Linked DNA regions of Arabidopsis thaliana. The protein of the gene in region 3 purifies or fractionates together with the protein of the main gene of each other region. This does not show direct contact. Each region holds a gene or a part of one and is shown on either strand. Other genes may lie near its edges.

Region 1 (7,462 bases), on a different chromosome or scaffold from region 3:
TGTGAGCATCATGTCTGTTGAAGTTTATTTCAAACATTTTTCTCTAATCTGCTTTGTATCTTACAGCCGTACTAGCTGAGGAAGCCTTGAATCTGGCTTCCATGTACAGTGATGTCATGACTGCCAACATCTTGAACGAGGAGCAATGCAAAGAGTTGAAGATGGGTTCATATCTTGCTGTAGCTGCTGCTTCAGCTAATCCACCTCATTTCATACATCTTATCTACAAACCTTCTAGTGGCCCTGTTAAAACAAAACTTGCTCTTGTTGGAAAAGGATTGACATTTGACAGGTACTAGAGCTGTTGGCTTCTGTTTGCCGCATCAATCTCTTTATTTAATACTTATTAGTTATTGACCAGATGGTTTTTGTTCACAGCGGTGGCTACAACATTAAAACCGGGCCTGGCTGCTTAATTGAGCTCATGAAATTCGATATGGGAGGTTCAGCTGCTGTTCTTGGCGCTGCAAAAGCCATTGGTCAAATTAAGCCTCCAGGTGTTGAGGTAAGTTTATCACACGGAGCTTGCGTTTCTGAGTTAAATGAATGTACCTAAACAAATGCTTCGTTGCACAATCAGGTGCACTTTATTGTCGCAGCTTGTGAGAATATGATAAGTGGTACTGGAATGAGACCTGGAGATGTCCTCACAGCCTCAAACGGAAAGACGATTGAGGTATCATAACACCGTTTCCATATGAATTCAGCTTCAAAAGGTTCGAGCTTTCCATTGTTAGTTTTACGCCAAACTAATTGTGGGTGGTATTGCAGGTCAACAACACCGATGCTGAAGGTCGACTAACACTTGCAGATGCTTTAGTTTATGCTTGCAACCAGGGTGTCGATAAGGTATTGTTTCAAAGATTCTTCGACTTATTAATACATTCTTTCTGTTGGTTTTTCTCTCAAGTCTCAACTTGTGAATTACAATATTTGCAGGTTGTTGACCTTGCAACATTGACTGGGGCTTGTATTATTGCTCTTGGAACATCAATGGCAGGTACATAGTCTTGTGTTTTAAATAAGACAGAATAAAATTCTTTCGTGATGGTTGACTATTGGTTTTTCTGCAGGCATATATACACCTAGTGATAAGCTTGCAAAGGAGGTGATTGCTGCATCAGAGAGGAGTGGAGAGAAGTTATGGAGAATGCCTATGGAAGAGAGTTACTGGGAGATGATGAAGTCAGGTGTTGCAGATATGGTTAACACTGGAGGCCGTGCAGGTGGATCCATTACCGCGGCTCTTTTCTTGAAACAGGTGAGTATATCATAAGAGTGGAAACAAAAGAACACATTTCAATACTGACGCTATTGTTCTCTAACGAAGAACCGGGTTTGGTTAATGGTTGCAGTTTGTGAGCGAGGATGTTGAGTGGATGCACATAGATATGGCTGGACCAGTGTGGAACGAGAAGAAGAAAGCTGCAACTGGGTTTGGAGTTGCGACACTAGTTGAGTGGGTACAGAACCATTCTTCTTCTTAAGATGAAGTCTGGTGATCTCTGACTGATGTGAACTAGTTGTGTTTTTGCTTTGTGTGGTGGGACAAGTTTTTTTTTTTTGTGCAACTAAGTATGACAAGTTAAATCAATCAGAAGATTAGTTTTGTTGTTGTATGCTTACCTAGTCTAAACTTAAATTCAACAACCACCGTGAGAGACACAGTTGAGCCACCGTTGTTGCTGTGTCCCGTCATGTTGTTGTATTTGAATGGGTCCGTGAGTTGTTGAGAAGGAGAGATAGTCGCCGTTCATCACCACTACAGCCACCGTGTGTCACCGGAGAGTGACACCACGAGTCACAGGATGTCAACCGCTGTCACCGGAGTAGTCGTAGTCCATCGCCAAGGCCGTTAAGGGTAAGGAAACCCTAGATCTATTATGTAACTTGCTCAGGAAGTTTTTGGCTTTCTCTTATGATCTGTGCTTTGTTTTGGTTTTGATTGTTGAGCTATGAGACCTTACTGCCGTGAGCTTAAACCGCCTCATCGAGCCCCGAGCAGATCCACCGAGAGTAATCGCCGAGAAAGGTAACGGCGAACCTTATCTCCCGTGTTTGTTGTTGATTATTGAACCGGATCTTAACCAGTCTAAACCAATGACTCTTAATTTAGTTAAGACCAGAACCGAAACCAATGACAATTTGCGTTGTTGGTGTATTATTACGTCTGTGTGGTGTAACTAGATTATAAGAATTTGGTTTGGTTTAATTATTAAACCAAGTCTAATTAATTTAATTGGAAGAATACCAAATCAATTAATCGAGATTTCTAAATTTGGTTTGGTTATTAGATTAAATCATGTATTTTTAATTGGATTTCACCTATTGATCCACAAATGAGTTACAAAAGTGATAATACTGACGTGTTTTTCAATTTCTTTTATCACTTCGTGTAAGAATGCCTTGAAATATTTGAATTTCTATAAATAGTATCAAAACTATGTTTTGTATAAACAACTTTAAATTTGAAGGCAACAAATAACAGTAGTAAGTATTTCAGATATGGTTATCAAGATAAGTTTAGTAATAGTGAAACATGATCACATTAAAATTTGAAAAGAAGTCTACAGCTAATCAAGATTGTTAAGATCGGGTCGGATAATAGCAATAGTGAGTGAGTCAAGTAAAAGAATAATCATCGTCAACAAGACACGACGGTCGGACGCGGGCGGACGCAAGAAGAGACTGGGCCACTCTAATTTTCTAAGATAACTCTAATTTCATACTATATATATATATATATATATATATGTCTGCATCAGCCACTCTGTTCTTCTCCTTATAAATAAATATAAAGAAGCTAAGCTCAGTGGAGACTTCTCAAATGGCGGTCACTTTGGTAACGTCATGTGCTTCTTCTTCTCGCTTCCATTTCCGCTCTTTCTCCTCTTCTCCGTCGTCTCTCTCCTCTTGTTTCGTACGATTCCAGTTGCTGTCTCGCCTTAGAGTCTCTTTCGCCATCACGCCTCTCTACTGCTCTTCTAAAGCCACGGCTCATACAATCGCACACGCTACTCTTGGCCTTACTCAGGCCAACTCCGTCGATCATCCTAAGGTTTGACTTTGCTGTTATGTGTTTAAACTCGATACTAGTGAATGCTTTGTAGATTCGTCGCTTTACTGTTTCCGATTAAGATGATCCACTGATTTGCTTACTTCGATTATGGTCAAGTCTTGTCAGAGATTAGCTTTCCAGATGCTTAACTGGATTCTGATTACTCGAGTTTTCTGTATCAGATCTCATTTTCCGGGAAGGAGATTGACGTGACTGAATGGAAAGGTGATATACTCGCTGTTGGAGTGACGGAGAAAGATATGGCTAAGGATGCCAACTCCAAGTTCGAGAACCCCATACTGAAGAAGCTTGATGCCCACTTGGGTGGACTTCTAGCTGATGTCTCGGCTGAGGAAGATTTTTCTGGGAAACCTGGCCAGTCAACAGTTCTTAGGCTTCCGGGTCTCGGCTCAAAGCGGGTCGGTTTGATTGGTCTTGGAAAATCTGCTTCAACCCCTTCGGCTTTTCAGAGTCTTGGTGAGGCTGTTGCTGCAGCTGCTAAAGCTTCTCAAGCTAGCAGTGTTGCAGTTGTTCTCGCCTCCTCTGAGAGTTTTTCTGATGAATCTAAGCTCAGTTCTGCTTCAGATATAGCTTCAGGTTGTGATTTCTTTTAGTAAACCTTGAGAAGTGCTTGTTTCATTACCATTTTTGAACTGATCCTTTTGTGGAATCGTTTTTTACTTTTGACAGGCACAGTGCTTGGTTTGTTTGAAGACAGTCGGTATAAGTCTGAGTCAAAGAAACCATCTCTCAAATCTGTAGTATTCATTGGCTTTGGCACTGGACCTGAACTAGAGAACAAGCTTAAGTATGCTGAACATGTTTCTTATGGCGTAATTTTCACGAAAGAACTTGTTAATTCACCAGCCAATGTTCTCTCCCCTGGTATGGATTATAATCATACTCTTAGACTTCTCATGTTTTTTATAATGTGAGCATCATGTCTATTGAAGTTTATTTCAAACATTTGACTCTAATCTGCTTTGTATCTTACAGCCGTACTAGCTGAGGAAGCCTCGAATCTGGCTTCCATGTACAGTAATGTCATGACTGCAAACATCTTGAAAGAGGAGCAATGCAAAGAATTGAAGATGGGTTCATATCTTGCTGTAGCTGCTGCTTCAGCTAATCCACCTCATTTCATCCACCTTATCTACAAACCTTCTAGTGGCCCTGTTAAAACCAAACTTGCTCTTGTTGGAAAAGGATTGACATTTGACAGGTACTCGCAAGAGCTGTTGTCTTCTGTTTGCCGCATCAATCTCTTTCTTTTATACTTATTGGTTATTGACCATCTGGTTTTTGTTCACAGCGGTGGCTACAACATTAAAATTGGGCCTGAATTAATAATTGAGCTCATGAAAATCGATGTGGGAGGTTCAGCTGCTGTTCTTGGCGCTGCAAAAGCCATTGGTGAAATTAAGCCTCCCGGTGTTGAGGTAAGTTTATCACACGGAGCTTGAGTTTCTGAGTTAAGTGAATGTACCTGAACAAATGCTTCTTTGCACAATTAGGTGCACTTTATTGTCGCAGCTTGTGAGAATATGATAAGTGGTACCGGAATGAGACCTGGAGATGTCATCACAGCCTCAAACGGGAAGACAATTGAGGTATCATTACACCGTTTCCATATGAATTCAGCTTCGAAAGGTTCAAGCTTTCCATTGTTAGTGTTGCAGGTCAACGACACCGATTCTGAAGGTCGGCTAACACTTGCAGATGCTCTAGTTTATGCTTGCAACCAGGGTGTCGATAAGGTATTGTTTCAAAGATTCTTCCCCTTATCAATAACATTCTTTCTGCTGGGTTTTCTCTCAACTTGTGAATCATATATATTTGCAGATTGTTGACATTGCAACATTGACCGGGGAGATTATTGTTGCTCTTGGACCATCAATGGCAGGTACATAGTCTTGTGTATAAAATAGACAGAATGACATTCTTTCGTGATGATTGAATATTGGTTTCGATTTTTGATTTCTGCAGGCATGTACACAGCTAGTGATGAGCTTGCCAAGGAGGTAATTGCTGCATCACAGAGGAGTGGAGAGAAGTTATGGAGAATGCCTATGGAAGAGAGTTATTGGGAGATGATGAAGTCAGGTGTTGCAGATATGGTTAACTTTGGAGGCCGTGCAGGTGGATCCATCACCGCAGCTCTCTTTTTGAAACGGGTGAGGATACCATAAGAGTGGAAACAAAAAAACACACTTCAATACTGATTCTATTGTTCTCTAACGAAGAACCGGATTTGGTTAATGGTTGCAGTTTGTTAGCGAGAATGTTGAGTGGTTGCACATAGATATGGCTGGACGGGTGTGGAACGAGAAGAAGAAAGCTGCGACTGGGTTTGGAGTTGCGACACTTGTTGAGTGGGTACAGAACAATTCTTCTTAAGATGTAGGCAGGTGATCTTTGTGCTCCCAGTTCTTATTTAACATTCTCAGAGGTTTTAATGTAGGTAAAAGGGTTTTTATTTGCTTGTGTGAACTGTGAAGTGTGACGCTTGAATATGACGAGTTACCCATTTGAAAGTATTTGACTATTTGTAGATATTCTTGTGTTCCGTAACATCACTTACCTAATAACACAAACTATTAGGAGCACAAGATGAAGGATACAAGTCGTCAATCTTATGTTTCAGTGGTCATCAATAATAACACAAACTATTAGGAGCAAACAAAACAATTTATTTAAATCTCTTTTGAATATGTTTTAGCTCAAATCAATAAATAAAGGCGCCGAGAAAAAAACAGAGCTCATTTGCACAACAATCAGTATAGTCCAAAGCTTAAGCAAGTGAGGACATGTGTTCTAGCTTTCCTCTTGAGCAGGAGCAGAAACAGGAGGAGTAGGTTCAAGCATTCTTACAGAACGAGGAAGCATAAACTCAGCAAACACAGGGTAGTGAGATGAAGGATACAAGTCGTCAATCTTATCATTTACGATCTCGCACATTACAGGAACTATAGATCTACCTCTGTAAAGTATCCAATCCGTGTGTAGATCTTGCGTCTGTCGGTCCCAGCAGAGGCATAACGCTCTGAATATCAGCTTCAGGAACTCGACCGTTCCCTGCTTGTCACCTGAACAAAGGCCCAACATGTTATGATCTAGAAGCTTTGGAGATAAATGATTTTTATAGCTCATGAGAGGGTGGAATGTTTCACACCTTTGAAATCATGGTATGTTCTTATGAGAGCGACGTTTTTTCTTACTCGGGCACTTGGCCATGCGTCTCTCATATCTCCTACCACACCATGCTCTCTGCAAGTTGAATGATGCCCAAAAGCCATTCATCAGCAGTCAAATAAGTAAATATGCTTTGATTTGAAACTAGTTGATCAGTGTGTGAAGAATGGTTTAGCCATTCTTGCATTAACTAGGAGCCCTGAAAGAAAACTCTAGGAGATTGGTAAAAAGCACAAAACTTGTGAATGTGATATTAAGGTACCTAGATCTGCCCAACAGAAACCGCCCTGTTGTTGATTCCTTCTGTGTGTTGAATCCTCCACAGTACACAACCGGCAAAGTGGGAGGTAATGATGCTATGTGTTGCCATGTGAGTAAAGCACTTCGCCTACGGGCACGAGGGCTGATTTCATCCAAGTTTGTGTTGACTATCTGAAACGAAAAACCAGGCGGCTCCGCTCCTTTAAGTTGGAATGTGTAGGCAGCTTGTCAAAGAAAACCAAAATACTGATATATAGGACAAAAACACCAAAATCATAAACTAATCTAATTATAGTTTAACTAAAATGAACCCAACTAGTAAAAAGGATATAGCCCATGTCGCTATACAAGGAACTGCGGAACCCCATGCCGTGCTTCCAGGGACCGAGGGAGACTCTGACAACCAAAAAGTTCCACCCTCTAGCAGCTCTACCTTCAATTAGTATAAAGTATAGTATCAAGCAGCGTATTAATTATTTAGAGCGTAGTTATGTATTGTCTTATCAACCGAATTAATACTTTTTCCTTGTTGAAGAAGATGGTGCAGTGTTCATCATTAGCATCCCCAGGTCCTGTTCTTGATATGCCAAATTGATCATAGGCTGCAAGCAAAGAGTACTACCATCTATTTAAGTTCAAAGAAACAATGCAAACTGAAGTATTATTAAGGCATGTGAAACTAGAAGCTAAGCTCCATGGTTCACAGTAACAAAAACCAGATAAACAATACCACCATCATTTCAAAGAAAGCACCTGTAAATGTGAGAATATCATGCATTCCATTGCCATAAAACAGATGCATTAAGTGCACTAGACTCCGGCTTTTGTAGCCTAAAAACACTAACTTGAACTTGATGCAAAAAAGGATACGGATTGACAAATTGGCTATCAGATTTAAGCAATACCAACATATACTAAAAATAGAATTAAATCTAGTAGATCACAAATAGA
Region 2 (7,528 bases), on a different chromosome or scaffold from region 3:
AATAGTTTTGGTTATGATTTTAGTGTTTTCGTTAACATAAGCGGCCTATAAAGAATAGTTAAAAGAAAATAGCTTAGACATAAGATATATAACAAAATCTATATATATGTAAAGCTGAGGCGATATATATGGTAATCAGAATGTGCAGAACAAACAGATTAAATTATGTGATGCGACTTGTTGGAGGAAAACTCATTATGCAGAAGAAAAACGCTACAAACAGCTCAAAATAATGTGTGAATAATGAGAAAATAATATGTTATCCAGTATGAATGTTTGAATGGTGAAAAAGTTTTAAACAAATATTTTATAGTTTTTAATAGATTAATTTATATAATAGTAGTAATTTGAACAAATATTTTTCAGTTGTGTTATTTTATCGCAATTTTTTGTTAAATATATGATTCTGAAAACAAAAATTATATTGTATGATTTTGTTTTTTTTCAGAAAACTGTAATCCGAATAAATACCTTCTATTGTTGAACGTAATTTTTTTATAAATGGTTACAATCGTTTAGTCGAAAGTTTAGTTTATTTTACAAATCATTGTTTTTTTTTTTTTTGACACGATCTTAATAAAACCGTCCACCTTCTTCTCCTGAAAACTTTACATTTTCAAGAGTTGGACTAATTCATAGAAAATCTTACATTTTCAAGAGTCACATACGCATTTTCATTGTATATTGAAAATGAAACACGCTGAGAGATATAATAATATATTAGGTTCACATATGAATTTTCAATTTTTCATTGCACGCGGGACACACCAAACCATTTTTTTGACCTGGTTTCATTTATAAAAAAGAATACTGTAAAACGTGGGCTTCATTTATCTCTCTATATATATATGCTTGAATTACATTTTGAATTCATAGATCTAAATCAACCCAAAATGTATAAATTCGTCGTTTGCTTATTAACTTTGAGTTTTCTCTTGCTCTCTGGACTATCAAACACAGCATTGGCCCGAGTACATCATGAGTCTTCAAATCCAAGTAATTTTTATATTCCAAGCAATTTTGTATACTATTCGATTTTTGTTTAATTTGATTGTAGAGTATTAAATATACACTTCAAATTTTCCGTTTTAGAAAACAGAGATATTGAATGAAAATCGAATGTTATATAGTTTTGGTTATAATTCCATGTTTGCAAATATATCTTTAAAATCAAAGAATATCCATAGAAAATAGTCGTCAATTTTACTTTATCATCGCAGTTTGAATTTACGATTTGCTCATTATATATGAAAACTAAAACTGAATCATTGTAATAATATCTCTTCATTTTTGGCTTTTGTAATAATTATTCCGGTATGGACATACAGTTCTTTTTCAATTTGGATTGGTTCCTCTAGATACGTAAGCAATAAACTGGCATAACAGAAATGATTTGTTAATTGTTGCTTCTTTTTTTTCTGTTTTGAAAGAAATAGGAAACAGGGTTTGGGATCAAAAGATCTTCAACAATGTGAAGGTTCGTGTACTTCCCAGTGCTTCAAGGCGTGGACCTGGGCAAACCGGTTAGAAAATCAGTACTAAGGAACAAAAGGAGTATTAAGTAGAATAGTTACTTCAAAATATTATCAAAAAAATATTTTATTTTATGATAGATAAAAGTCATGTTTTGTAACCACTCATATGCTGTTTTTTTTTCAAAAGATGTTCAATTATTGCATTTGACATTATGGTTCATAAAATTTGAAGTGGTTACCGAAAAAAGTAATGAAAAGGAGAACCCAATGTTGAAGACTTCAAAAGTAGAAATTTCAGACAGTATTTTTGCACGACTAAAACAAAGTACCACTTTATTCAACTTTTGACGATTTTACTTTTCATAACAAGTTAAGAACATCTGAAAACATAGTAACTTTTGAGACCTTATTAAAAACCAGCAATCATTTCAACACCCGAAAAACTCTACAGTCTCTCCCTCACGCTCTCTAGGTTTCATTCACGAAGATGAATTCTTCTGTACCCATTCAACAAGCGTAGCAACACCAAACCCGGTCCCAGACTTCTTCTTCTCGTTCCACACCGGTCCAGCCATGTCGATATGCATCCATTGCACCTTCTCACTCACAAACTGCCATACCACAGAAAATAGAGGATGGTTTAGTTACTTTCACCGACGAATTTTTTGTCAAAAACATGTATGTATAGCCTCTAAAGGGACTTTGTTTTCACCTGTTTCAAGAAGAGAGCCGCGGTGATGGATCCTCCTGCCCGCCCGCCTGTGTTGACCATATCAGCCACTCCAGACTTCATCATCTCCCAATAGCTCTCTTCCAGTGGCATCCTCCACAGCTTCTCTCCACTCCTTTCTGATGCAGCAATCACTTCCTTTGCAAGCTCGTCGCTAGGTGTATAGATTCCTATCAAGTAATGAACACAGAATGATCATCATGAGCCAATTTTGGACTCAAAAACGACACAAAGATTGAGTTTTTCTGCAGGGTTTTTGAGCTGTGTACCTGCCATTGAAGTTCCAAGAGCAATAACACAGGCCCCGGTCAAAGTAGCGAGGTCAACAATCTGCAAGATATTTGACAATGTTTAACTGAAAGGATAAATTTAACAGAAACAAGCTCCTTTAGCTTCTCATATCAATAAAGTAATGCAATACCTTGTCGACGCCTTGGTTACAAGCATACACTAGAGCATCTGCGAGTGTTAGACGACCTTCAGCATCTGTGTTGTTGACCTACACACACCATCGCCAACAATTAGCATTTCATAGGAAAAACAGTAAAAGCTCAACTCTGAGGGGGAAAAAATCATCAGATACCTCAATGGTCTTTCCGTTTGAGGCAGTGATGACATCTCCAGGTCTCATTCCGGTTCCACTAATCATATTTTCACAGGCTGCAACGATGAAATGAACCTGGTTGTGGAAGACGAATCTGTTCAGTTCGGTTAACAAACTATAGCTTTCAAAAGAATCTGATGGGAGAAACTAACCTCAACACCAGGAGGCTTAATCTCACCAATAGCTTTCGCAGCGCCAAGAACAGCAGCTGAACCGCCCATGTCGAATTTCATGAGCTCAATTGAGCAGCCAGGTCCAGTCTTAATGTTGTAGCCACCACTGTGTACACAAGATATTCAAATCAACAACCACTAAAATAACAAAGAAAAGATACCAGCTCGTAACAGAGTAAAATTCAAAGCAATACAGAATGATTAGTTACCTGTCAAAGGTCAATCCTTTTCCAACAAGAGCAAGTTTGGTCTTAACAGAGCCATTCGGAGGTTTATAGACAAGGTGGATGAAGTGAGGAGGATTAGCCGACGCAGCAGCAACAGCTAGGTAAGAACCCATCTTCAACTCTTTGCATTGCTCTTCGTTCAAGATGTTTGCAGTGAAGACATCACTGTACGTAGAAGCCACCTTTGCTGCTTCCTCAGCTAGTACAGCTGAAACGATACAAAAATCAAAGCAGTTTAGGAAAACTCAGCGAACACCACACAAACACGAAAATATTTGATTTCATAAATGACAACAATTCATACCAGGAGTAAGCACATTGGCAGGAGAATTAATGAGCTCTCTCCCGAAAATTACACCGTAAGAAACATCTTCAGCATACTTCAGCTTCTTTTCTACCTCAGCCCCAGTTCCAAATCCAATAATATCAACAGCTTTCAAAGATGGTTTCTTTGATTCAGACTTATACCTACCATCTTCAAATAAACCAAGTACTATGCCTATCCAAAAATAAACAATGAGACCCCAAATCAGTTCCAATTTCCAAAACAGTACTAAACAAGACTCGAACTTGTGTTATACTAATTGAAGTTACCTGAAGCTAAAGCTGATACAGAACTAAGCTTAGATTCATCAGAAACACTTGAAGCAAGCACAATAGCAGCACTAGTAGATTGAGAAGCTTTTGAAACTGTAGCTACAGCTTCACCAAGGCTATGAAAAGCCACCGGAGACGAAACAGACTGTCCAAGACCGATCAAAGCGATTCTCTTTGATCCTAAACCCGGAAGCCTGAGAACAGTCGATTGACCAGGTTTCCCAGTGAAATCTTCCTCGGAAGAGACTTGAGCTAAAAGTCCACTTAAGTGAGCATCGACCTTGCTCAAGATCGGATTCTCAAACTTTGAGTTACCGTCTTTGGCTAAGTCCTTCTCTGTCACACCAACTACGAGTATGTCTCCTTTCCATTCAATTACATCGATCTCCTTCGCAGTGAACGAGATCTGCATAATCGTCACCAAAAGATCAAAACTTCAAACTCGAATCAATCAAAAAATCAAAACTTTGAACTAAATCAAAACTGGATTCCATACAAAATCATTTCAAAATCACAGTGAAGGAAACAAACCTTGTGAGGCTCAGTGGAGTTGGGTTGAGTGAGACCGAGAGTGTGAGCCATGGTTATTGCTATTGAAGAGAGGTGTTGTGTGATTGAACTCTGAAAAGGAAGACGAAAGAGTAAACAATGAAAAGTTAGGATTGGTCTTTCAAAGGCGTATATATAGAAGGAGAAGTTAGGTGTGATTTACACATGTGTGATGTGTGTTAGTGAGTAGCTCAATTAGGCTTGAACATTCGGACTTCGGATTGGATTTTATTACGATAATTCGGGTTTTGGATTTGTAGGGTAAAATAGGGTTTTGGATTTTTTAGACATTCGGACTTTGAATCGGATTTTATTAGGGTAATTCGGGTTTTGGATTTGTAGGGTAAGACATGGTTTTGGATTTTTTAGATAGGGAGATTTCGGAAGGTACTGAATATGTTTCGATCGGTTCGTTTTGGATTTATACGGGTTCGGAATGGTTCTCGAAAAAAAAAAAATGCGACCATAGAATCGAAATATGTTCTGATTCGATTTTTGAATCGAAAAACTCCAAAAACCTAAACGATGTATATAGAAAAACGCTCCAAATGATCCTTAAAATCCAAAAATATGTGTATATATTGTTTTGTGTTTTTTGGGTTTACGTTTGGATTTTATTTTTTGGTATAATGGTTGGGTTGTAGGTGTTTTTGAGTATCCGTTTGGGTTTCAATTTTTTTTTAATGTTCGGATTTCAGATTTTACCAGTATATAACCGAAAATCGAAACATATAATTTAAGATCTGTTAGGATAATAACAACTTTTTGATTTGGAAATTTTTTTGGGCGAATTTCTTAAGAGAAGGTCGAAATAATAAAAGACAAAATTATAGTAGAAGTTGTTATTTTCAGCAACCTTATCAAACATATCTCTATGAGATATGCAAAAGTTTTAGCTTCAGTCGTGTTGAAGTGTTCTAGGTGGAATGGTTTAAATGGGTGAAAGGGCATCGATCATGCTATCGAGCTAGTCACTTCTGACTCTGATTTTGGGCACTGTTTCGTCGATCGTTGGTCATTTTGTGCCGCCTTTGATATCTGATCAAGTATCCACAAATCCGTCCACACCAATATTTTGAAGGTAAACCCCATTTCCTAATATCAAAAATACTATTCGCCGTCCGGAACATTGACAAGTACACGGCGTACCAGTCAAACATGGAGCCTAATCAATTCAACTATTTTTTCTATTTTGTTTTGTCGACAATGGTCTAATTGATACATGAGAAATTAGGCTGTATGACCATAAAAATTTAATAATTCAATAACTAACTTAAAAAAAGTTGACTACATGATTATGTGTATAACATGTAATATATACTAATCTACCCATTTGTTCACATGTCATATGTATCTTTTGATTCTTTTTCTGAATTTTGTCTTCTTTTTTTCTTTTGTATTTTGAAGTATGATCATTTTTAATTGTGTTTATGTTAAAATTTTAATAATATTATTGTTACTAATAAAATTTCACATTATGACTTTTACTATTTTAAAATCATTTTTTATTTTATTAGTTTTTTGTTAATAATTAATATTAATAGAAATAAATATTTATTAAATGAACATTGTAATTATAATTTAGTGTTAAAAAAAAAAAATGGTGACATGGCTTTGTTTGATTGGATGTTTACCATGATGATATGTACACATTAAGAGAACAGAAAACTCTTCCATAATATATATTAGTTAATAACACTAAGAATGGTGAGAGTGATATTAACATGGACATGGTTCCATTTTCATAATGCGTTTTTTGAAAGACAATCGTTACATTTTCAACTCTTTTTCAATGTTGGAAACCGCAAATTAATTACCAAATAGGCAAATAAATACTCGAACGAGTTTCATTAAAGATAATTAAAGCCAGTTCTTCATTTCTTTCATATAAATCAGACAATAATCCCATGTTATTTTCATCACCCAGTTACAAACTTGAAAAAGAATCACACATCAGAATATTTTAATTTTTCTTTTGTTTTGCCATAAGAATATATATCATGACGATAAAGAATGTACTTTTTGTTCTAGTAACCATTTGTGTAGCAGTTTCTGTAAATGCTCAACTACAGCAATATCCGATTATTTTCTCAAACCCGCTTCCATTTCTGCGCTCGACTGGTATACTAAACCTACCAGACGTAAAAAAATGTTTCTCGTCCGTGAGGAATGTTCCAGGATGCTTATTAGAGATCTCTCAAGCTTTTGGAGAGAAATTCGGTCACATGATGCCCGCTTGTTGTAAGGCTTTCATGGATAGCATAAAATGCATGCCAAATATTCTATACAGTGTACTTTTCCCTCCTAATTTGAAAGAACAATGTAATCAGGCAGGGATCCACTAATTTGAAAGAACAATGTTCTGAGGGATCCACGCCTAGTAAAGAGGTGGTAGTTGCCACCACTTAAAAAACAGTTTTTAATATAACTTTACTAAATATAAATAATTGCCACCGTAACAATTTAACTCTTTCCATGATCCCATTTTTTTAAAAATAAAAATATTTAAGATGGCCAAAAGCTCACTTTACTAGTATTTTATAAATAAAAGCGTAATTTGTAAACTAAATCTAACTTAACTAATTAAAACTAGGCTTGGGCGTTTAATCTGAAACCGATAATCCAAACCGGAAAATCGGATTAAAATCCGAATCGCATTCAATATCCATAGGTACCAGATTATACTTGATCCGATGCAATATTCGATATGTATCCGAATTTGTGTCTTTTGTTGTACCAGGGACATGTCCAAGTTTGAAAATGTAGCTAATAAGAAGCTTGAGGCTGGCTTGTTTTCACTATCTTCCAAAATTTTTTTACTACTTTCGATTGAATTCTGCTACTTTTTTAATTTTTAGGATGTTATGGTTTACCTTCGCTTTAAAACTTTGATATATTGGCATCGTTTTATGTCTCACTTTGGTTTCCCAACTCTATGGTTTGCTAAGGTTTCATGTTAGTTCAACTAGTCATTTCAGTTTTGTTTTGCGGTTTTCGGATTGTTTGGATTATGTTTAGATTTTTTGTTTAAATCAGATATTGAATATCACATGCATACCGATTCAAAATCCGAAATATCCAAACCGAAGTCGAACCACATTCTATAATTATTTTTATAGATATTAATTAGAATCTATTTCCAAAAACTCGAAATCCGAAAACACCAAACCGAA
Region 3 (6,637 bases):
TATCTTTTGTTTTGAGCAATATGATGTGAACTTATTGATGCTTTGATGTGAAGCAAAGAAGAACATGTGGGTCAAAGCCTCAAAGGAAACAGCTCAGCTGATGTAGTTGGGTTGTTGAACTTGTTTGGTGGCATTTACACTAACTCCTTAATGATCATTTTTACCGCCTAACCCCACACATTTAATCATAATGACCGCCGGAATTATTTACTTTCTCATACGAATTAAACACAACTTAAACTATTTTAATAAAATCGCTTCAAAACATGTTTATTACATTAATAATTTATAATAAAAATTTATACTATATAAAAGTTGAGCTATTATCCTAAACAAAAAATTACAGGAAATCATTAAGATATAAAAACGATAAATATATCTTTAACAAAAAAAATTATTAAGAAATTACAACATTTCGTTAATGCTAATTCTTCTTTATTTTGTGATTAACGATACCTATAACACTAATGCTACCATTAACGTTACTAATTAACTTATAAACAAACAAAAAACATTGCAGTTGGAAAGAAAACAACAATTAATCGTGGATTCTCAAAGGAACCAAGTGTTTGTTAGTGGACCACAATAAATATTTTTTAAAATGGATAAGAACCCAATGAAAAAAATAGTTTTATTTAAATTAAATACTTTATGTTACAAATTCTGTTGAAACTCTCTATCAATCCAACTTAAACCGACCGGTTTAACTCCCAAGAGCTACTTGGAGTTGTCGTAAACACAGAGATCACAATCTTACCAAATTTTCACACACCGACATGTCTAGATCCTTAGCTCTCGTTTACTTATCCTTACTTTGTCTTCAAACCCATCTCTCAATCTCCGTCACAGTTCCGATTCCGTCGGTAAACGGCGAAATCGACGCAATGCTGAACCGGAACGGCGTAATCGGAGAGGAAGAAGGAGAGGAGATGATGCCATCGGAGATAAGTCGGAGAGTAATGATGATGCGGAAACAGTACATAAGCTACGAAACTTTAAGGAGAGATATGGTTCCTTGTCAGAAACCAGGTGCTTCTTATTACGCTTGTCGCTCTGGTCAGGCTAATGCTTACAACAGAGGATGTAGTGTCATTACTAGGTGTGCTAGAGACACTAACGACATCAAGACTTGAAAACATTGGGGTCTTTAAGTACATTTGAGTTTTAAACTCAGATGCTCTAGAGGCAAGTGAAATCTTATTATTCTTGTCTTTTGTTTTGTAATGTTGTTGTTTACATTAGATTTCTTAATTATTGATATGTAATTTTGGCTATTAATGTTCAAGTAATTGATATTTATAGTCTTGAAAGTGTTGAGTGGAGTAATAGATGGAAGATTGTGGAATAAAGTTTGGGTTTTAAGCTTGTTTAGGGTACTTATGGACCAAATTTAGAAGTTTTGGCAGGGTATGTGAAGAATTGAGATGGTTCTTATAATGGATTTAGATCTTTGATGGGTTTGAATTCATCAAGCAATTGATCTGAGTACAATAATGTTTTAATTAGAAAGCTGATTTTGGTTGTTCTTGTAAGTTCAAGAACCTGACTCTTGGACTCTCCATTGAACTCCATTTGTCAAATGCCTAAAGAGTTTCAGATGAGTTTTGGCTTAAGTTTGTGTTTGTGTTGTGTTGTGTGATTTCGAGTAGGAAACCGGTATACTCATGTCTTGTTCAAATCAGTAACTTGTTATCAAGACTCTTTGATATATAGCTTATCATGTTGAAGGAGTTGGTATAGTAGAATTCTGTGACTAGAGACCAATTTGAGTGTTTTGGTTTCTTACATTCACCGAACAAACCTCGGATTTGAACTCCATCCATGTTCCATTCGTTTCAAGGTTTGTCAAAGTGTTATCTCGGTGGTCACAACACAGCACCCCCATTGTTATAATTACCAAACGATGAATCAGTGTCAGTCTTTGAGTCGTTAGAAAATTCATGAGACGATTTATAGGTATACAATTCAAAGAAGCAAAAGAATTCCAGTAATATGAAGCCAAAAAATAACTTTGCGTATTTTGTTTTCACTCTTGTTTGGAAAAGTAGACAGAACAAAGCATAAATAAGCCTAACAATAATGTAAAGCATAAGCTAATTTATGTTGAAGATATATAAAATAGAAGAAGAAGAAAACAAAAAAACAGCCTCTCATAAATCAAAAACAACCCCTTATTCATACCAATATTTGGTCACACGCATCAGAAGACCAATATCTCATATTTCTCCGACCAAACCAGACCCAATCCGACTCAAACAATTGCCAATAAACGGCTTAATCAGAAAACCAAACGAAGAACCAAAGCTTGGCTCTTTTATCCTCTCAGTACCTGTAGTGAACAGGCTTGTAAGGACCTTCAACGGGTATGCTGACATAGTCAGATTGGTCCTTGGTAAGCTTGGTGAGTCTTGCACCAAGCTTGCCTAAGTGAAGTGCAGCTACCTTCTCATCCAAGTGTTTAGGCAAAACATAGACCTTCTTCTCATACTTCCCGCTTGACTTCTCGTTCCAGAGCTCAAGCTGTGCAATCACCTGGTTGGTGAATGAGCACGACATCACGAAACTCGGGTGTCCAGTGGCGCATCCCAAGTTCATCAAACGACCTTCAGCTAGAACAATGATGCCAGAGTTGGTATCAGGAAACACCCACCTATCGGTCTGTGGCTTGATGGTAATACGTTTCACACCAGGGTAGGTCTCAAGTCCAAGCATGTCGATTTCATTGTCAAAATGACCAATGTTACAGACAATGGCATTGTTCTTCATCTTCCTCATGTGATCAACCATAATAATATCTTTGTTACCAGTAGTGGTACAGAAGATATCAGCTTCTGAGACAACATCCTCAAGGGTCAGAACTTGAAGACCTTCCATAAGAGCCTGAAGAGCACAGATTGGATCAATCTCAGTCACTATGACACGAGCACCCGCGGTTTTCATTGCTGCAGCACAACCTTTTCCTACATCACCATAACCACAGATAACAGCAACCTTTCCAGCAATCATAACATCAGTAGCCCTCATGAGACCATCGGGAAGCGAGTGTCGGCATCCGTACAAGTTGTCAAACTATAAAGCAAACAAATCATCAGTGAAACAGAGAAATGCAGAGCAGAAACAGAGCAAAAAACAGAGTTCTTGCTTCCACCTAAATGGATCCATTAACAATATCATTCATATTTTGGTGATTTCAAAACATTGTATTATCCACAAATTAGGCAAAACAATATCAGATCTAGTGTCTTCTAAAGCTATAATGTGCCACATTACCTTGCTCTTGGTGACAGAGTCATTGACGTTAATGGCAGGGAACAAGAGAGCTCCAGTCTCCTGCATCTGATAAAGCCTCTTAACACCAGTAGTAGTCTCCTCAGAGACACCAACCAATCTCTCCTTCATCTTATGGTACTTCTTGGGATCAACTTGAAGACCGTCTTTGATAATAGACAGGACGATCTGAAACTCGGGATTATCAGTAGAGGTCGGGTCAGGGAACGTACCATTCTTGGCAAAGATCTCTTCAGCTTTAACTCCTTCATGGATCAACAGTGTAGCATCACCACCGTCATCAACGATGAGATCAGGACCACCTCCAGGACCCCAGTCAAGAGCTCTCTCTGTACACCACCAATATTCTTGAAGAGTCTCACCTTTCCAAGCGAACACCGCGGCGGAATCACGAGCAATAGCGGCCGCGGCGTGGTCTTGAGTGGAGAAGATGTTGCAAGAACACCATCTGACTTCAGCGCCGAGAGCGGTTAAGGTTTCGATTAAAACCGCGGTTTGGATCGTCATGTGGAGAGAACCGGTGATTCTTGCTCCTTTGAGTGGCTGAGATGGTCCGAATTCGGTAACGCAAGAGACAAGTCCAGGCATTTCGACTTCGGCTAGCTCGATTTCGAGACGGCCGAAGTCGGCTTGGGACATGTCCTTGACCTTGTATTCACGGCCACTTGAGGTTTTCTCTACAAGCAAAGCCATTTTTGAATAGTTTCTTGATGTGTGGATCTGTGTGATGAAGGAGGAGGAAGAGAATGGTGAGGGAGTGAGGTTAAATAGATAAAGGCGGGAGTGAGATGGACGGTTGAGATTAGTTGTAGAGAGAGTTTGGTGGATCTGGTAAAAGATATTGACTTTTCATCCTTTTTTTTAGATATTCCGAAAAGAGTGACAATTCTGTTTTCAAAAATGGGGTTAATCATACAATCAATAATTATTGATACTAATTATTTTGCAAAAAAAGGGGAACATGAAGAAAAATTCTGTTTCAGATGTATAAAATTTTTTTACACAAATCTGATATTATCATATGCAAATAAAACTAAAACAGTTTTGTGTTATTTTATCATCAATTGTTTTTTTTTTAATACGTACAAATTTTTCTAAAGTACTCATATCTTTGGTTTTAATCTTGGCCAATATATTTTAAAATCATTTGGCCAACATATTATCATTACCAAAAACGGTCTTTTGTATAATACATAAAACAATTGATATTAATTTGTGACTAATGTTAACTCATTCTTATATCACAAATTGCAATTTTCATATTCGTTACAAGTTCGTAACTAATTTGTAACAAGACATTGGTGACAGTGTTAGTTATCATCGGATGTTCGTCACTAAATGTGACAAATTTTGTTATGATCCTTTTCGTCACAAATATAGTGATGAAATTACTATGAATTTGTGAGTTATTTTAGTCATAATATAGTATCTAAATATCACAGATTTGTGACAAAAAAAATTGTCTCAAAATTACTTTTCAATAAGTATATTATAGGCATAATTTAAAAAAAAAACTTTTTTCAAAAATTCCCTATATTTTGATATAGAATCATCGATTTTACAAAAGAAAAAAAAAGTGATATGTAATTAGATCATGACCGAACTATGATCATGCTTAAGTGTTATGTGAATTGTGAAACACATATTGCTTTTGTTCCAAGCTTTTTCTTTTACATTATCTTGATGACATTGTTTCTTCATCTTAGATTTTCGAAGTATATAAACCAAAAAAATAGAAAAAATTCAAAGTTATATGTGAAAAAAACGATAAATTAAGATGAGCAAATAATTATTTGCCTTCAAATGGTTGCAATTATCAGTTGGAAATTTATATAACTGTTTGCAATTCCATGAAATTTCTGAAGCTCTAGTGGTTCCTGCAATTTAAGGAAACTTGTTGCTATTTTAAGGCAACAAAAAGTCGAAGGTTCATAAGTCTTTGGAAGATCAAGTTTTACGAGGAAACTATAACCAACACGTTATTCGTACTACTAAAGATTTAGGGAAAACTTGTTTTCGTAAAACAACATTGAAGTATATATTATGACATCTAACAGGTGATTTGTCAAATGGCATGCAAGATAAAAACACATTAATATTATGATGCAGATAGATCAGAGACGTGATTTTTACATGATAAGGTTAAGAAGGTTAGAACTTTGGTGCACTAGCAAGCCTTCACACATCACACATTCAGACCGATAGATCTTAATTCTTATTCGTCTGGGCCAATAGTGTCGTTCTTCCATTATCTCTGTTTCACACCGATAGTTTTGTGTGTGTGTGTGTTTAAACATTAGTTATTATTGAATGTACCACCTTATTCTTCTTGAGCCAAGAAAAAATATGAACGTCGGTGCACTGGATCGTGGAAGGGCGTCGGTGGATCTGAATTAATACCCTACCAACAAAAAAAACACCAATAATAAACGAATGCAAAATAAGGTGAACTCATTAAATATCCTTTTTTTTGTGTTTCCTAAATATTTGGAGTATTTTAAACAAGAAATGAGACGTTGCAAGTACACGAGCCATGTCAATTTGTTCCTTTGATATCTTGCAGAGATATATAACTAGTATAGGTACATTAGTTGATCTAATTTATATTATTGTTTGAGTAAAAATTATGGTCTAGTTTTCTTACCCTAATAAAATTATTTTAGCTCAGCATGTGGCTAAAGCTAATTTATGAGTTTTGTGGTGGGACACTAGTCCAAACCTCTCATACATAAGTACTTTTGTAATAGTCGAATAGATATATACATTGTATTTGATGTAAGAACAAAAATTGGCTTAGGAAAATCAATTCTCAACCAACAAATAAAGTGTACATCACATATCAATTCTTACCAAGAAACGAAAAAATAAAAGTAGGAATAAAGTTCAAACATTAGTGAACGTCACAATGTCGACAGATATTTGGTTATAAGTGACACGGCGTCTATTTTTTGTGTGTGTAGAAATTGAAGGGCCACGCCACTCATTATGAAGCTCCATAATTGGCATTGGTAAACCTGATTCCAAAATAACTTTGGCACTTTGTGGGTCGGTGAGAATAGTTCTCAATCTCTCAAGTCTCAACTACCACATTCCCAAAAGTTTCTTTTAAACGTGATTATACTCCACACAAACTATATACTTCAAAAAGAAAGTTACCAAAAGTATACTCACTTAAGACTTTTCGTTTTCAATATTCTTTTCGTTTTCTAGTTAAAATGTCAATTGTCTTCTATTTAAAAATATTTGTAAACAGAATGTCAATTGTTTAGTGCAGTACATTTTCTATATACATGTTATTAATAACGCGCTTCAAACTGATAAAAATGTATTCTAAAGAAGTATCGGATTT

The links. Proteins that work in one complex are often made in the same cells at the same time.
Region 1: the proteins of SAHH2 (region 3) and AT4G30910 fractionate together in Arabidopsis thaliana (co-fractionation; one large-scale study listed by BioGRID). This does not show direct contact.
Region 2: the proteins of SAHH2 (region 3) and LAP1 fractionate together in Arabidopsis thaliana (co-fractionation; one large-scale study listed by BioGRID). This does not show direct contact.

What each region holds. Positions count from the first base shown.
Region 1 is NC_003075.7:15,040,614-15,048,075, reverse strand, and holds AT4G30910 (Cytosol aminopeptidase family protein), read left to right. Parts: upstream 1-2,731; 5' UTR 2,732-2,827; coding exon 2,828-3,058; intron 3,059-3,240; coding exon 3,241-3,655; intron 3,656-3,748; coding exon 3,749-3,943; intron 3,944-4,054; coding exon 4,055-4,280; intron 4,281-4,370; coding exon 4,371-4,497; intron 4,498-4,572; coding exon 4,573-4,815; intron 4,816-4,900; coding exon 4,901-4,961; intron 4,962-5,044; coding exon 5,045-5,232; intron 5,233-5,326; coding exon 5,327-5,455; 3' UTR 5,456-5,719; downstream 5,720-7,462. Other genes in the region: LAP2 (Cytosol aminopeptidase family protein), read left to right, coding at 67-292, 379-505, 581-676, 772-849, 940-1,000, 1,074-1,261, 1,356-1,487; AT4G30900 (DNAse I-like superfamily protein), read right to left, coding at 5,873-6,144, 6,231-6,325, 6,513-6,727, 6,843-6,944, 7,031-7,113. UniProt on the Arabidopsis thaliana protein: Presumably involved in the processing and regular turnover of intracellular proteins. Catalyzes the removal of unsubstituted N-terminal amino acids from various peptides. Possesses Cys-Gly dipeptidase activity.
Region 2 is NC_003071.7:10,285,063-10,292,590, forward strand, and holds LAP1 (Cytosol aminopeptidase family protein), read right to left. Parts: upstream 4,624-7,528; 5' UTR 4,389-4,623; coding exon 4,338-4,388; intron 4,213-4,337; coding exon 3,804-4,212; intron 3,709-3,803; coding exon 3,514-3,708; intron 3,418-3,513; coding exon 3,192-3,417; intron 3,089-3,191; coding exon 2,962-3,088; intron 2,885-2,961; coding exon 2,789-2,884; intron 2,705-2,788; coding exon 2,627-2,704; intron 2,536-2,626; coding exon 2,475-2,535; intron 2,376-2,474; coding exon 2,188-2,375; intron 2,087-2,187; coding exon 1,955-2,086; 3' UTR 1,744-1,954; downstream 1-1,743. Other genes in the region: AT2G24195 (uncharacterized protein), read left to right, coding at 849-996, 1,431-1,528; AT2G24205 (ECA1 gametogenesis related family protein), read left to right, coding at 6,356-6,700. UniProt on the Arabidopsis thaliana protein: Presumably involved in the processing and regular turnover of intracellular proteins. Catalyzes the removal of unsubstituted N-terminal amino acids from various peptides.
Region 3 is NC_003074.8:8,585,691-8,592,327, forward strand, and holds SAHH2 (S-adenosyl-l-homocysteine (SAH) hydrolase 2), read right to left. Parts: upstream 4,065-6,637; 5' UTR 3,982-4,064; coding exon 3,271-3,981; intron 3,070-3,270; coding exon 2,323-3,069; 3' UTR 1,932-2,322; downstream 1-1,931. Other genes in the region: RALFL24 (ralf-like 24), read left to right, coding at 777-1,133. UniProt on the Arabidopsis thaliana protein: Adenosylhomocysteine is a competitive inhibitor of S-adenosyl-L-methionine-dependent methyl transferase reactions; therefore adenosylhomocysteinase may play a key role in the control of methylations via regulation of the intracellular concentration of adenosylhomocysteine.